Linked DNA regions of Stegostoma tigrinum. The protein of the gene in region 2 interacts with the protein of the main gene of each other region in a biochemical or structural test. Links are inferred from orthologs where the notes say so. Each region holds a gene or a part of one and is shown on either strand. Other genes may lie near its edges.

Evidence for each region.
Region 1: of the proteins of rb1 (region 2) and ccnb1, one has a biochemical effect on the other in vitro, tested with the Homo sapiens proteins (2 studies listed by BioGRID). The link is inferred for Stegostoma tigrinum from reciprocal best matches to the Homo sapiens genes RB1 and CCNB1.
Region 3: the proteins of rb1 (region 2) and lin9 form a complex in vitro, tested with the Homo sapiens proteins (2 studies listed by BioGRID). The link is inferred for Stegostoma tigrinum from reciprocal best matches to the Homo sapiens genes RB1 and LIN9.

What each region holds. Positions count from the first base shown.
Region 1 is NC_081356.1:109,641,681-109,645,429, reverse strand, and holds the start of ccnb1 (G2/mitotic-specific cyclin-B1), read left to right. Parts: upstream 1-1,240; 5' UTR 1,241-1,372; coding exon 1,373-1,393; intron 1,394-2,819; coding exon 2,820-2,957; intron 2,958-3,749. UniProt on the Homo sapiens protein: Essential for the control of the cell cycle at the G2/M (mitosis) transition.
Region 2 is NC_081365.1:72,797,653-72,801,401, forward strand, and holds the start of rb1 (retinoblastoma-associated protein), read right to left. Parts: upstream 2,219-3,749; 5' UTR 2,076-2,218; coding exon 2,011-2,075; intron 1-2,010. UniProt on the Homo sapiens protein: Tumor suppressor that is a key regulator of the G1/S transition of the cell cycle. The hypophosphorylated form binds transcription regulators of the E2F family, preventing transcription of E2F-responsive genes.
Region 3 is NC_081357.1:10,408,814-10,412,562, reverse strand, and holds the start of lin9 (protein lin-9 homolog), read right to left. Parts: upstream 2,250-3,749; 5' UTR 2,214-2,249; coding exon 2,183-2,213; intron 1-2,182. UniProt on the Homo sapiens protein: Acts as a tumor suppressor. Inhibits DNA synthesis. Its ability to inhibit oncogenic transformation is mediated through its association with RB1. Plays a role in the expression of genes required for the G1/S transition.

The DNA.
Region 1 (3,749 bases), on a different chromosome or scaffold from region 2:
TATATTCAGCACAAAATTCAGGGTGACATGGTGGCATGATGGTTAGCACTGCTGCCTCACAAGTGCCTGAGACCCAGGTTCAATTCCAGCCTGGGTGACTGTCTGTCTGGAGTTGGATGGTTCTCCCTGTGTCTGTGTGGGTTTCCTCCGGATGCTTTGGTTTCCTCCCACAGTCCAAAGGTGTGCAGGTTCGGTGAATTGGCCATGCTAAATTGCCTGTAGTGTCCAGGAATGCCTAGGTTAGGTGGATTAGCCAATGAAAATGCAGGATTACAGGGTTAGGGTAGTAGGTTATCTCTGGGTGGGATGCTCTTTGGAGAGTTGCTGTGGACTTGTTGGGCTGAATGTCCCGTTTCCACACGTTAGGAATTCTATCGAAAATAAATTGCAGCCTCCGTCTCTTGCAACGGCTGCATAGGTTCGGTTGCTTGTGCTGTTACTAGTGCTATCAATGAATTTGAGTCTGAGTAGCAATTAAATAGAGAGGACTTAGTAGACTTGAAAATGCCGACATTTGAGCAATGATGATGACCGGGACTAAAAACAACAAATGCTGGAGATCACAGCGGGTCAAGACAGCATCCGTGGAAAAAAAGCAACCTAACGTCGAGTTCATAGCACCTGCAGTAATTTGCTCCTATAACTACCGGGACTCTGAGATGCTTATTGAAAATCTGGGGACGTTCTGACAAAACTTGGAGTTCTGGTTACCTCAGGCATATTTAAACATGTATTGCAGAGAATTTATGCTAATTGAGTTGTAGCAGATAGTCGGGGAACAGTACAAAACTGTTAATCAAACGTTTCCTGAAAGTTCTAACAATTAGCTTAATTTCGGTTTGCCAGATTCGTTTTCTTGCAGTGATTTAAGGTTGAAATGTTTGCAGCTAATCACACAGTCCACCTCTTCACTGCAAAAGCCCTTCAGTGTATTGACTGATCGAGAGCCGTTGGGTGGGCTGGGCTGCACTGTTTAAATGGCACAGTCCTTCCCCTCCATCCGTCTCCTCGTACGATTGGTGGCATCCAAATGGACCAATCATAGCGACTCAAAGTTCGCCTCTATGTAGGGAGGAAAAAAGGAGAGAAACGATAACATTCACACAAACGGGCAATAAATGTGTCCGGTGCCCAGCAGCAGCTGCCTCCAGCTGATCGCTACATTTCCAATGATGCGGGGGTAAACCGATACAAACCGCTGACGTCAGGCAAACCCGTCGCCAGGGCAACGCATTCTAGTGGAGCGGGCTGCGCCAATCAGAGTGGGCGGAATGTGGAACGGCAGCGAATGAGCGTGCAGCGGCGGGGAGTTTAAACCTGAAGCCGGCTGGTGTTGGACTGCAGTCCGTGGCGAGTGCTCAGGCGGTTAGCAATGGCTCTTCGGATGGTTAAGGTAGCGTTTGTTATTGGCTTTTTTTAAAAGAAAAATCAACCAAACCACCTCCTCGTTTCCACCACCGTAATTACTCACTCTAAGGCGATATTTTCCAGCAGGACCAACCGGGAGTTTAACGGAATTGGTTCGCTTGTAAACTAGGCTTTTTTAAAAAAAAATGTTGGTAATGAAATTTGGAGTAAAAATAAATAGTGTTTTTTAACTTAAAAAATTCTGTTTTCATTTTCCTAGTGGAAGCGAATCCTGTAACCATGCTTAACACTGTTATGGTAGGCTTTTTAAAGTGGAAGTATTGTGTGTGGCAACTTCACTTCAGACCTGATTCTGTTAACCCGCATAACAGACCGAAGCTAAAACCAAAGACTGCTATAAGCGTTTGGTTATGTTTTAATGTCTGGGCCGAAGTAGGTGTGCAATTGTTTTGGTTTAACTCTTCTCTTGTGTAGCGGGTGAACTTAGCGATAACTTTTGGCTGGGTTGCTGCTGGGCGTGTAGGGAAGAGCGGTGGAGCTCTGCAATGACGTTCAGTGGGATTTTCCGAAGCTTCCTAAGGAAAGTCAACTTTCTGCGACTGGCATAAGTGGCTGGACCCACAGGCGGGTCCACATTCGTATAATGCTACATTCTGTAGATAAGCGATAGCCTCATGTTTCAACGCAGGGATGGAGGGGGAAAAAAATAACAGCACTTTTATTTTTTAAGGCGGGGCTCCCAGATCATGTGCTTTTGCAACGTTGCAAAGTCCTACGGGAAGGCGCCATTCAGAATCTGGCTCCAATCTCAATTTGTCATAAACCAGTCAAATACGCCCCCTCTCTATTTATTTCAGAACCCCATTCCCCTCCTCTCTTCTTCCCCCCCCCCCCCCCCCCCCCGCCATTTCTGAAGAAAGGTCTAGGCCCGAAACTTCAGCCTTCCTGCTGCTTGGCCTGCAGTGTTCATCCAGCTTTAACACCTTGTTATCTCACTTAATGTTGGGTATGGGGGGCTGGGGGGAACCCCTCTGCTGTACGTGGCTGGAGTGGTACTTCATATTTATGTAAACGCTCATTGTGTAACCGATTCCTCTAAACCCATGGTTCAGAACAGCTGTTAATTCTTTGGCTTTAACTGGGATTAGTGTTGGAGCCAGACATGTGAATTTTCCTTAACAATTGCTAGCCTTGGTTAATGACTTTACTTCCTCTTGCCAAGTTCATGATGGCTACCCTGTCTTACAAATCTATAAAGCAATCTGATATTATGTGAGTAAGAATGGATGGGGAGAAAATTGGCCAACTGCTCTACTGCAACAGATTAGGAAAGTGGAATGGAACAACAATATTCTTATGAACAAATACCTCCTGTGCTATTGCAGTACTGCAGCTGTGCCCAGTTGTTTTTGTTCATTCAGTATTAACATCCTAACGAACTACTTTGACAGACTAATCATGTTGGTAAAGACAACATTGAACCAAAAGTCCTTCCAGGAAAAATTGGAACAAAGCTTGGCTTGAGACCTAGAACTGCTTTGGTGGACATAGGCAACAAGACACTGGGAACTAAACTCCCAGTGAAAAAGGTATGTTGTGCATTGCTAGATAACCTGTACCCTTAATGGATTTAAATTCCTAGCAGCTGTATTTGGTTTTTTTTGTCCCTATTGTGGCAAATGTCTTGACTGACTAACTTGCAGAATGCTTCTCCAGTATAAAGTGCAACCTGGAGTTTGCCTGTTTTTAATTCATCTAGTGCTGGCACTCCTCTTCTGTCCTTGGTCAACTTGAACACTTCAATGTAGCTCAACACTAAACCACCCCTTTTCATTAAATAGATTTTTGTTACTTTCTGAACTCACTACAACTTCATAGCACTAACTGATCCCATGGTTTTTTGACCATATCACTGAATTTTTTTAAACCAGTTCTAACAAGGGGGCACCCCTGCCAACCTCTGGATCCAACACATCAATCTCCAACACTTCTGCCATCTGCAATTTTCCCCTCAACCTTGCCTGCTGTACAGAGGGACCACTGTCTCTGTGACTTCCTCATCTGCTCGTCACACTCCTCCAGCCCTGCTACACCTGCCCCTCTATCTTCCCTCCTCCCAGGCCCTAAGACTGCCTGCATCAAACAGATGTTCACCTGTGCATCTGCCAATGTGGCATACTGCATCCACTGTACCCATTGTGGCCACCTCTACATCAGGGAAACCAAGCAGAGGCTTGGGGACTGCTTAGCAGAATACTACACTCGGGTTGCACTAAACAACAGAACCTCCCAATCGTGAGCCATCTTGACGCTCCCTCCCATTCCTCAGATGTGTCCATCCTAGGCCTTCTGCAGTGCCACAGTGATGCCACCCAAAGGTT
Region 2 (3,749 bases):
GGATGAACACAGCAGGCCAAGCAGCATCACAGGAGCAGGAGAGCTGACATTTTGGGCCTAGACCCTTCTTCAGAAATGGGGGAGGGGAAGGGGGCTGTGCAATAAATAGGGAGAGAGGAGGAGGTGGCTAGAAGATGGATACAGGAGAACATAGGTGGAGAGGAGACCGACAGGTCAAAGAGGTGGGGATGGAGCCTGTAAAGGGGAGCATAGGTAGGGAGGAGATAGGTCAGACCAAGGAGCACGGACAGACAGGTCAGGGGGTGGCGGGATAAAGTTATGAGGTAGGAGATGGGGGTGGGGCTTGAGGTGGGAGGAGGGGATATGTGGGAGGAAAGACAGGTTAGGGAGGTGGGTACAAGTTGGGCTGGTTTTGAGATGTGGTATGGGGAAGGGAGATTTTGGAGCTTGTGAAGTCCATATTGATACCATTGGGCTGCAGGGTTCCCAAGCAGAATATGAGTTGCTGTTCCTGCAACTTTCAGATAGCATCGTTGTGACACTGCAGGAGGCCCAGGGTGGACATGTCATCTATGGAATGGGACAGGGAGTTGAAAATGGTTCATGACTGGGAGGTGCAGTTGCTTAGTGTGAACCGAGCATAGGTGTGCTGCAAAGCGGTCCCCAAGCCTCCGCGTGGTTTCTTCAAAATCTCTCCGCCGTCCTCCCCACGCTCCACCACCACCACCACATCTCAAAACCAGCCTGTCCTTCCTCCCACCTCAAGCCCCACCTCCATCTCCTCCCAACTAACATACACTTTTACTGGCACCATCCCCACCTCTTTGACTGGTCTGTCTCCTCTCCACCTATCTTCTCCTCTATACATTTTCTATCTACCTCCCCTTCTCTTCCTATTTATTTCAGAACCCTCTTCCCACCACCCCCCACCCAATTTCTGAAGAGGGGTCTAGGCCCGAAACATCAACCTTCCTGCTCCTATGATGCTGCATGGCCTGCTATGTTCATCCCGCTCTACACCTGGTTATCTCAGATTCTCCAGCATCTGTAGTTCCTACTATCTGAAACATTATTTTCTTGTCTGTACTTGGCACTTGTCCCCTTTTAAAATGTAAAATCTGTAAGAATACAATGTGTTTTATTGATTTTTCGTCAGACTTAGCAAGTTGCAAAATTCCTTTTTCTTTCACTCACTCAAGAAAACCTTGGAATTAGCTCCTTAATGCTGAACTACCAAACTATGTTTTAAGTGTGAAAGAGTAGTGTGCTAAAACAGAAAGGGAGCCAGTTCAGCCTTTCTCACCTCGTCAACATTTTATCACACTGCTGTTGAAGGGAGTTGCCTGTGAGGAATTGACTGTCAGAAACCCTTCACTATCTTACGGTTCAAAAGAAATTCATCAGGGTATTGCGCTGTCGAGAAAGGCTCTGTATAAATCGAAGTCCTCTTTCCCCTAAAGTAAATTGTGAATTAAAAGGCTGTTGCCAAGGAATGATGCATTATACTATATTCCAGCTACTACCGATTACCCTATATTTGAAGGGTCGTCTGCTAGCTTCTCTGGGTAATGACTATCGTCAAAAACACTACATGTGATAAATACGGTGTTTTGGAAGATTACCCTAATGCTACCTACGGAGGATTATGCCCTTTTTTAACTGCCACAACAGTAGAAATTGGACATTTAGCACAGAGTCGGTCTCACAGAATTAGCACTGAGTCAGCAGTGGGGTTCTGCACCAGGTTACTGCGGTGCTGCGATCCGACTTAAAAGTTCCCGGGGATTTTGCACAATGAAGGAAAAGGCTAGTAGCCAGGTAAAGGGCCACAAAACTGAAGCACAGGGCAACGACAAGTGCAGCGAAAAAGAGAGACAGAAAGATGTCGCGTGGGGGCGGGGATTAGCTGCTCTCGAGAGCCACTTTACAGGTAACCACCCAAGTATTCCCCACACCTCTTGCACCCTCCCAGTGCCCAGGCCGCGGCTGGCTGAGGTGGGAGCTCGGCCGACGAAAGCAACAGCTGCTGCCCTGTTACCCCGTCCTTACCTGGCCGGAGAGATGCTCTCCTCGGAGCCACCAGCGGCCGTTCTCCTCAGCGACTTGGGGGGCATGATGTGTGGACAATGGTGGGTGGGGCTCGGCGGCGGCAACCGTTCAGCTCGCGCTCGAGGCCACCGCTTTCGAATGTTTAAAAGGGTGCAAGATTCTAAACCGAATAGACGCCACCACAGCCCAGAGACCGCGCCAAACTCACGCCGCTTCCGACTTGTGCGTCACTTCCTTAGCAGCGCCGCCAGCCCAGCCACAATGAGTCTGATTCTGGCAGCGGTGAGTCACGTCTTCGCTACATCCATAGTAAACGGTCTAGCTCCGTTATACTTCCAAATGCTCACCGTTCTAATCCCCAGGCGATGGCGTTTACTCCGTTCGACAAAGACGATTTGGAAAAAGGAAACGAAAGAATACGGATGCTGTAAATCAGGAACAAAAAAAACAGAAGTTTCTGGAAAAGTTCAGCAGGTCTTGGAGTTGAAAAAGATATTCAGATGATTTTGAGAATTCTCGAGGCTGAGCGGTTTGAAACGGTCAACCCTTTGTTAGGAAGCAGAGGTCGAACCCCTCTTATTTAAAATCGAAACACAAGCCTGCAAATCTGTTAAGGCAGGAGTCGAGGTTCCTTTCGAATAATTAAACTGGAAACATTCCGAGAAGCTCGCCTCACCTCACCTAAAAGGGAGTAAACTTAGAGAAGGGGCAGCTAAATGAAAGAAAAACCATGATATTTGTTTTATAAGTAATAATTTATTTACTTAACCCTAACAGTGAACAAACTAACAGAATTACAACCAAACTGCACAATTCCCCTTCACTACTATTCCCTAACTGAACTGAATTCTACTGCTATGCTGTTCCAAAAATCACAAGTCCCACTTATATAAACCCAAGTAATAAGAAAATAATTTAAAATTTACTCTGTCAAAGTCTAAGTATCTTTCTTCTGTCGTTCTCCAGTCGTAAATGTCTTTCTTCCGCTGATCTGGCTGTCAGGGATGTTTTTCTGTGAGAGCTCTTAGTTGGAAATGCTGTAGTACCTTTTTTATGGATAAATGGTGCTTACGTTGAGAACTTAGTGATTTCTTGTGAGAGCTAAACGCTTATTTCTCAAATGGCAGTTCACTCACTTTTTTAAATATCCTTTTCTTATATACCTTTTGTTGAAGTATCAATTTTTCTTCAAATAGCATTGGTCTCAGATTGTCCAAACCATCAGATTTAAATTCAACTTTCTTTCAATCGCTAAGTGCTTGGTTTAAATTAGTTAACTGATTCCAGCTATTTGCCAAAACATCAAAACCAGTCTAAGGTTTCCAATCACACAGCCAATAGATATGTTTCAATTTCAGAACTGTCTGCACCATCTTCAGCTACTGACATGTTCTGTATAAATCTCAAAGCTTAGAAAAGCACTTTACCTCTTAAAAGGAGCCACATACTCCTTTCCCCATCATTTTTACAAACAAATTCTAGCTTCCTGTCTTTTGATTCATGATTACTCTACACAACTTCATAACATCCTACTGATGAAGAGTCATCTAGACTCAAAACGTTAGCTTATGCTGTCTGACCCACTGTGATCTCTAGCATTTATTGTTTTCAGTACAGGTTCCAGCATCTGCAGTAATTTGTCTCAACTGATTCATGTCAATTTCATTAAAGTCTTTCCAAGTGATGGTGAGGATTCTCTAAGACCAGTTCTCACTTTCCAGCTCACCAGCCTCCACACC
Region 3 (3,749 bases), on a different chromosome or scaffold from region 2:
TTTCCTTCTTCTGGTCAGAAGGTATAATCGGGGAAGGGAATGAAGAGTCACAATACAGCACAGAACAACATCCTGGTCATCCTGCTTATATCAGTTCAAAGGAGCTAGCCAATAAACAGTACTCCCCAAGTCTTCCCCAGAGCCCTTCAAATTTCTCCTTCTTCAAAGATGTAGCAATTCCTTTCCAAGCAGTAGCGCAGTTTTGTCAAAAGTCTGACTTGAGGAAAAGCCTGACTACCATCCAGTTCCTTGAAATCTATGACTATGTTTTAGGGATACAATGGTAATTCACAAATACACTACCATGCTGAAACATTCTGAAGAAGCAATCTGTTAAGAGTTGCAAGCACTTGCACAGTTCACAAAACTGTCATAGGTAAAGCAGCGATCAAAAACATTCAGTAAGCAAGTTTTTAATGGCAAAATTTATCTAAAATGATAAACTGTAAACATCCCCTCTCACTAAAAACTATTCTGCTCCTCTACACTGAGTAGATGAACCTGTAACCCATCACTCCCATTAAAAAATATTCACATGGACCTCAATCCAAACTCAGCAACATAAGTCTTGTTTCACACTTGCAGAAATAATCAACTGGAAAATGCATCAAAATTTACACACTTTGAACATGAAAAATGGCTAAGGCACTTGCCACAAGGGAACAAACAGCAAATAAAGAAGTTTGATAACCTCTAAAGATACTTTATGTCCTCCACTTCTCCAAACAAGACAGTGTCAGACCACAGATTAAAAACCTTCAGCAGCAACTTGTACCTATAGAGTGCTGTAAACATTGTAAAACATTGCAAGCTGTTGCGCAGGAGTGAAGCAACAAAATCTAATACCAAACCAAGGCAATCTTGGGGCAGGTGATCAAAAGCTTGATCCAAGTAGTTTTTTTTCTCAGAAGTGTTTTAAAGGAGTAAAGCGAAGTTTGTGGTGAGGAAATTGCAGAATGTAGGGCCTGAGAATGAAGGAATATGGAAAGAACTAATAAGGCCAAAATTAGAGTACAGATTACAGAGGATTGAGAGGCTGAAAGCAATTACAAAGATACTAAGGGTTGAGACCATCGAGTAGATCTGCAAACATGGAGCGAGAATTCCAGAAATGTAATTTGGAGCCAGTTTAGGTCAGTAAAGATGACCCAGGAACAGGATCTCATCAGAATCATTGCTTACAGACTTTTGGATGATGAGCCAGCCAGAAGTGCATCGAATACGCTACACAGTATCCCACATCTTTTACAGCAACAGGCTTAGGCTATTCAGCCCCTCACATATACTTCGAGCACTCATACCCACCCCGCCACTTTTTCAGCACTATCCAGGAAACCTCCAATGACCAAGACAAAACAGGGGGGGCCCGCCCCCAACAACGTCTTTGATGCAAACACACTGCAACCTCAAGTCTTCTCGCAAAACAGAACGGATCACAGCATAGAGTCACATTTGTCAGGCGGCCTTCAAATCCATTACATACAAAAAAAAACACATCAAACAAAAAAAACCCCACAGCATCTACATCCAGTTTCAAATTTAAATAAACAGTATCACAACTTTCCCTCGAACAGTGGGAATCGCGTTAAAGCGGACAGCCACCACAGCTACCCCCGCGACACAGACACACACCCCTCTCCAGCTGTGATTTATCTTTTCTAGCCGGGAATCCGTCTCCCCACTCAGCCCCTCACTCAGAGTCAGAGGAGGAGGAGGGCCTGTCCTGGGCGGATAGCCCCAGGTAACGGGGGGGGGAAACAGTCCGAGTGTGACAGCCGCCCACATCCACAGGCAGCTCCAGGTAGGGGTGGGGGTGGGGGTGGGGTGAGGTGATCCGGATCCGCCCCACGCCCCAAGCACCCTGTCCCGGCAGTCTGCGGCGGAGGAGGCCGCCCCGTGCGGACCCGGGATCCGCCGGTGCCCGGGCCCCGAGCTCCGGCCCCGGCCTGTCAGTCAGTGTCGGATCCTCGGCCCTCATCAGGCAGACTCCGCGTTCCCCCACCCGCCGGGCAGGGACACGACCTGGGCTCCCGGAGGTGGGCTGGATGGAGGGGAGGAGAAGGGGGGGGGGGTCGTTGGACGAGGAGGCTGCTGGCTGTCAGGGCGTCCCGACCCCTCGGGGAGTCTGTCTCCCTCCCCCTCCCGGATTTCCTTCCTTCCCCCACCCCCGCCCCGGACTCACTCTCATCCGGCAGCTCCTCCACCTCCGCCATCTTGAATCGGCCGCGCCGCTTTTCAAAGCGAGCCGCGCGGCATTCTGGGCGATGCAGGGCGGCAGAAACAAACCTTCGCGAAGAGGCGCCGGCAGAGCCGCCGGGGCGCGTGTGGCGTCGCGGGATCGCCCCCTGGGTCGGCAAGCTGGGAGCGGGCTGGCGAGGAGAGCGAAGGCGTGGGTTCGAGTCCCAGCGCCCCCCCACCCCCTCCTCCTACTTCATCAACGTCTTGCAGTAGGGCGGTGATTAGTTATATGGGGGGGGGGGGGGGGGGTCTCTATAAAAGTTAGCCTCACCGACTGTATGGAGTACGTGGGTCACCTTGAGCAGGATATTCTGGGGTTGGAGGAATGATCGAAGTGAATCCAGGAGGAGGCACTTGCTTGGTTGCCAGAGGTAATGGGAACTGGAGAATCCAAGATAACAAAGTGTGAAGCTGGATGAACACAGCGGGCCAAACTCACTGCGAAGCCTCTTCCAGGGATGCCTAACCTGAAGAAGTTACCCTCCTCCCTCAGGGCATAACCCTCTCTGATGAAGGGTCTAGGCCCGAAACGTCAGCTTTTTGTGCTCCTGAGATGCTGCTTGGCCTGCTGTGTTCATCCAGCTCCACACTTTGTTAACTGGCTTGGTTATGTTTCAAGTAGAATCCCTACAAGTGTGCAAACAAGCCCTTTGGCTCAACAAGTCCACACTAGCATCCACCTAACCTGAACACCACAGCATGGCAATTTCCCATGGCCAGTTCCACCTAAACCCGCGCACATCTTTGAACTGTGGGAGGAAACCCACACAGACACAGGGAGAACGATGCAAACTCCACACAAACAGGTGGAATTGAACCCAGGCCCTTGGTGCTGTAAGGCTGCAATGTTAATGACTGTGTTGCCCCAAAACCTGCAAAAAAACAAGTACCTGCTGAGCTTTTCCAGCAATTTCTGTTTTGAATACATTGTCACAACCCTAGCTTATTTATTCTCTCTTCACAGCTGAATTCTAACTCAGGGAACATCCTGGTGAATCTCCTGTGCAGCCCCTCTGGTGCAGTCACGTCCTTCCTATAGTTTAGTGACCAGAGCTGCATGCTGTATTTCAGCTGTGGCCTAACTAACACAATATACAGCTTCAATATAACCTCCCTTGCTCTCCTCTTCCAATACCTTGACTAACAGAGGTAAATATCACACATGCCCTCTCAGCCTTATCCACCTGTCCTGAGTTAATGAACAAATGATAGCCAGGAAAACACAGAGTTTAACCTTCCACATTAAATAGATGTTTACCTGCACATCTGTTAATATGGTATGTTGTATCTGCTGTGGCCTCCCCTACGTCAGGGACACCAAGAGAGGCTCAGAGACCGCTTTGTGGAGCACCTACATTCGGTTTGCGACAAACAACACCTCCCAGTCGCGAACCACTTCAACTACCCCTCCCACTCCCTGGACAACACGCCCATCCTGGGCTCCTCCAGTGTCACAATGATGCCATCCAGAAACTGGAGGAACAGTGCCTCATATTCTGCCTTGGAATCCT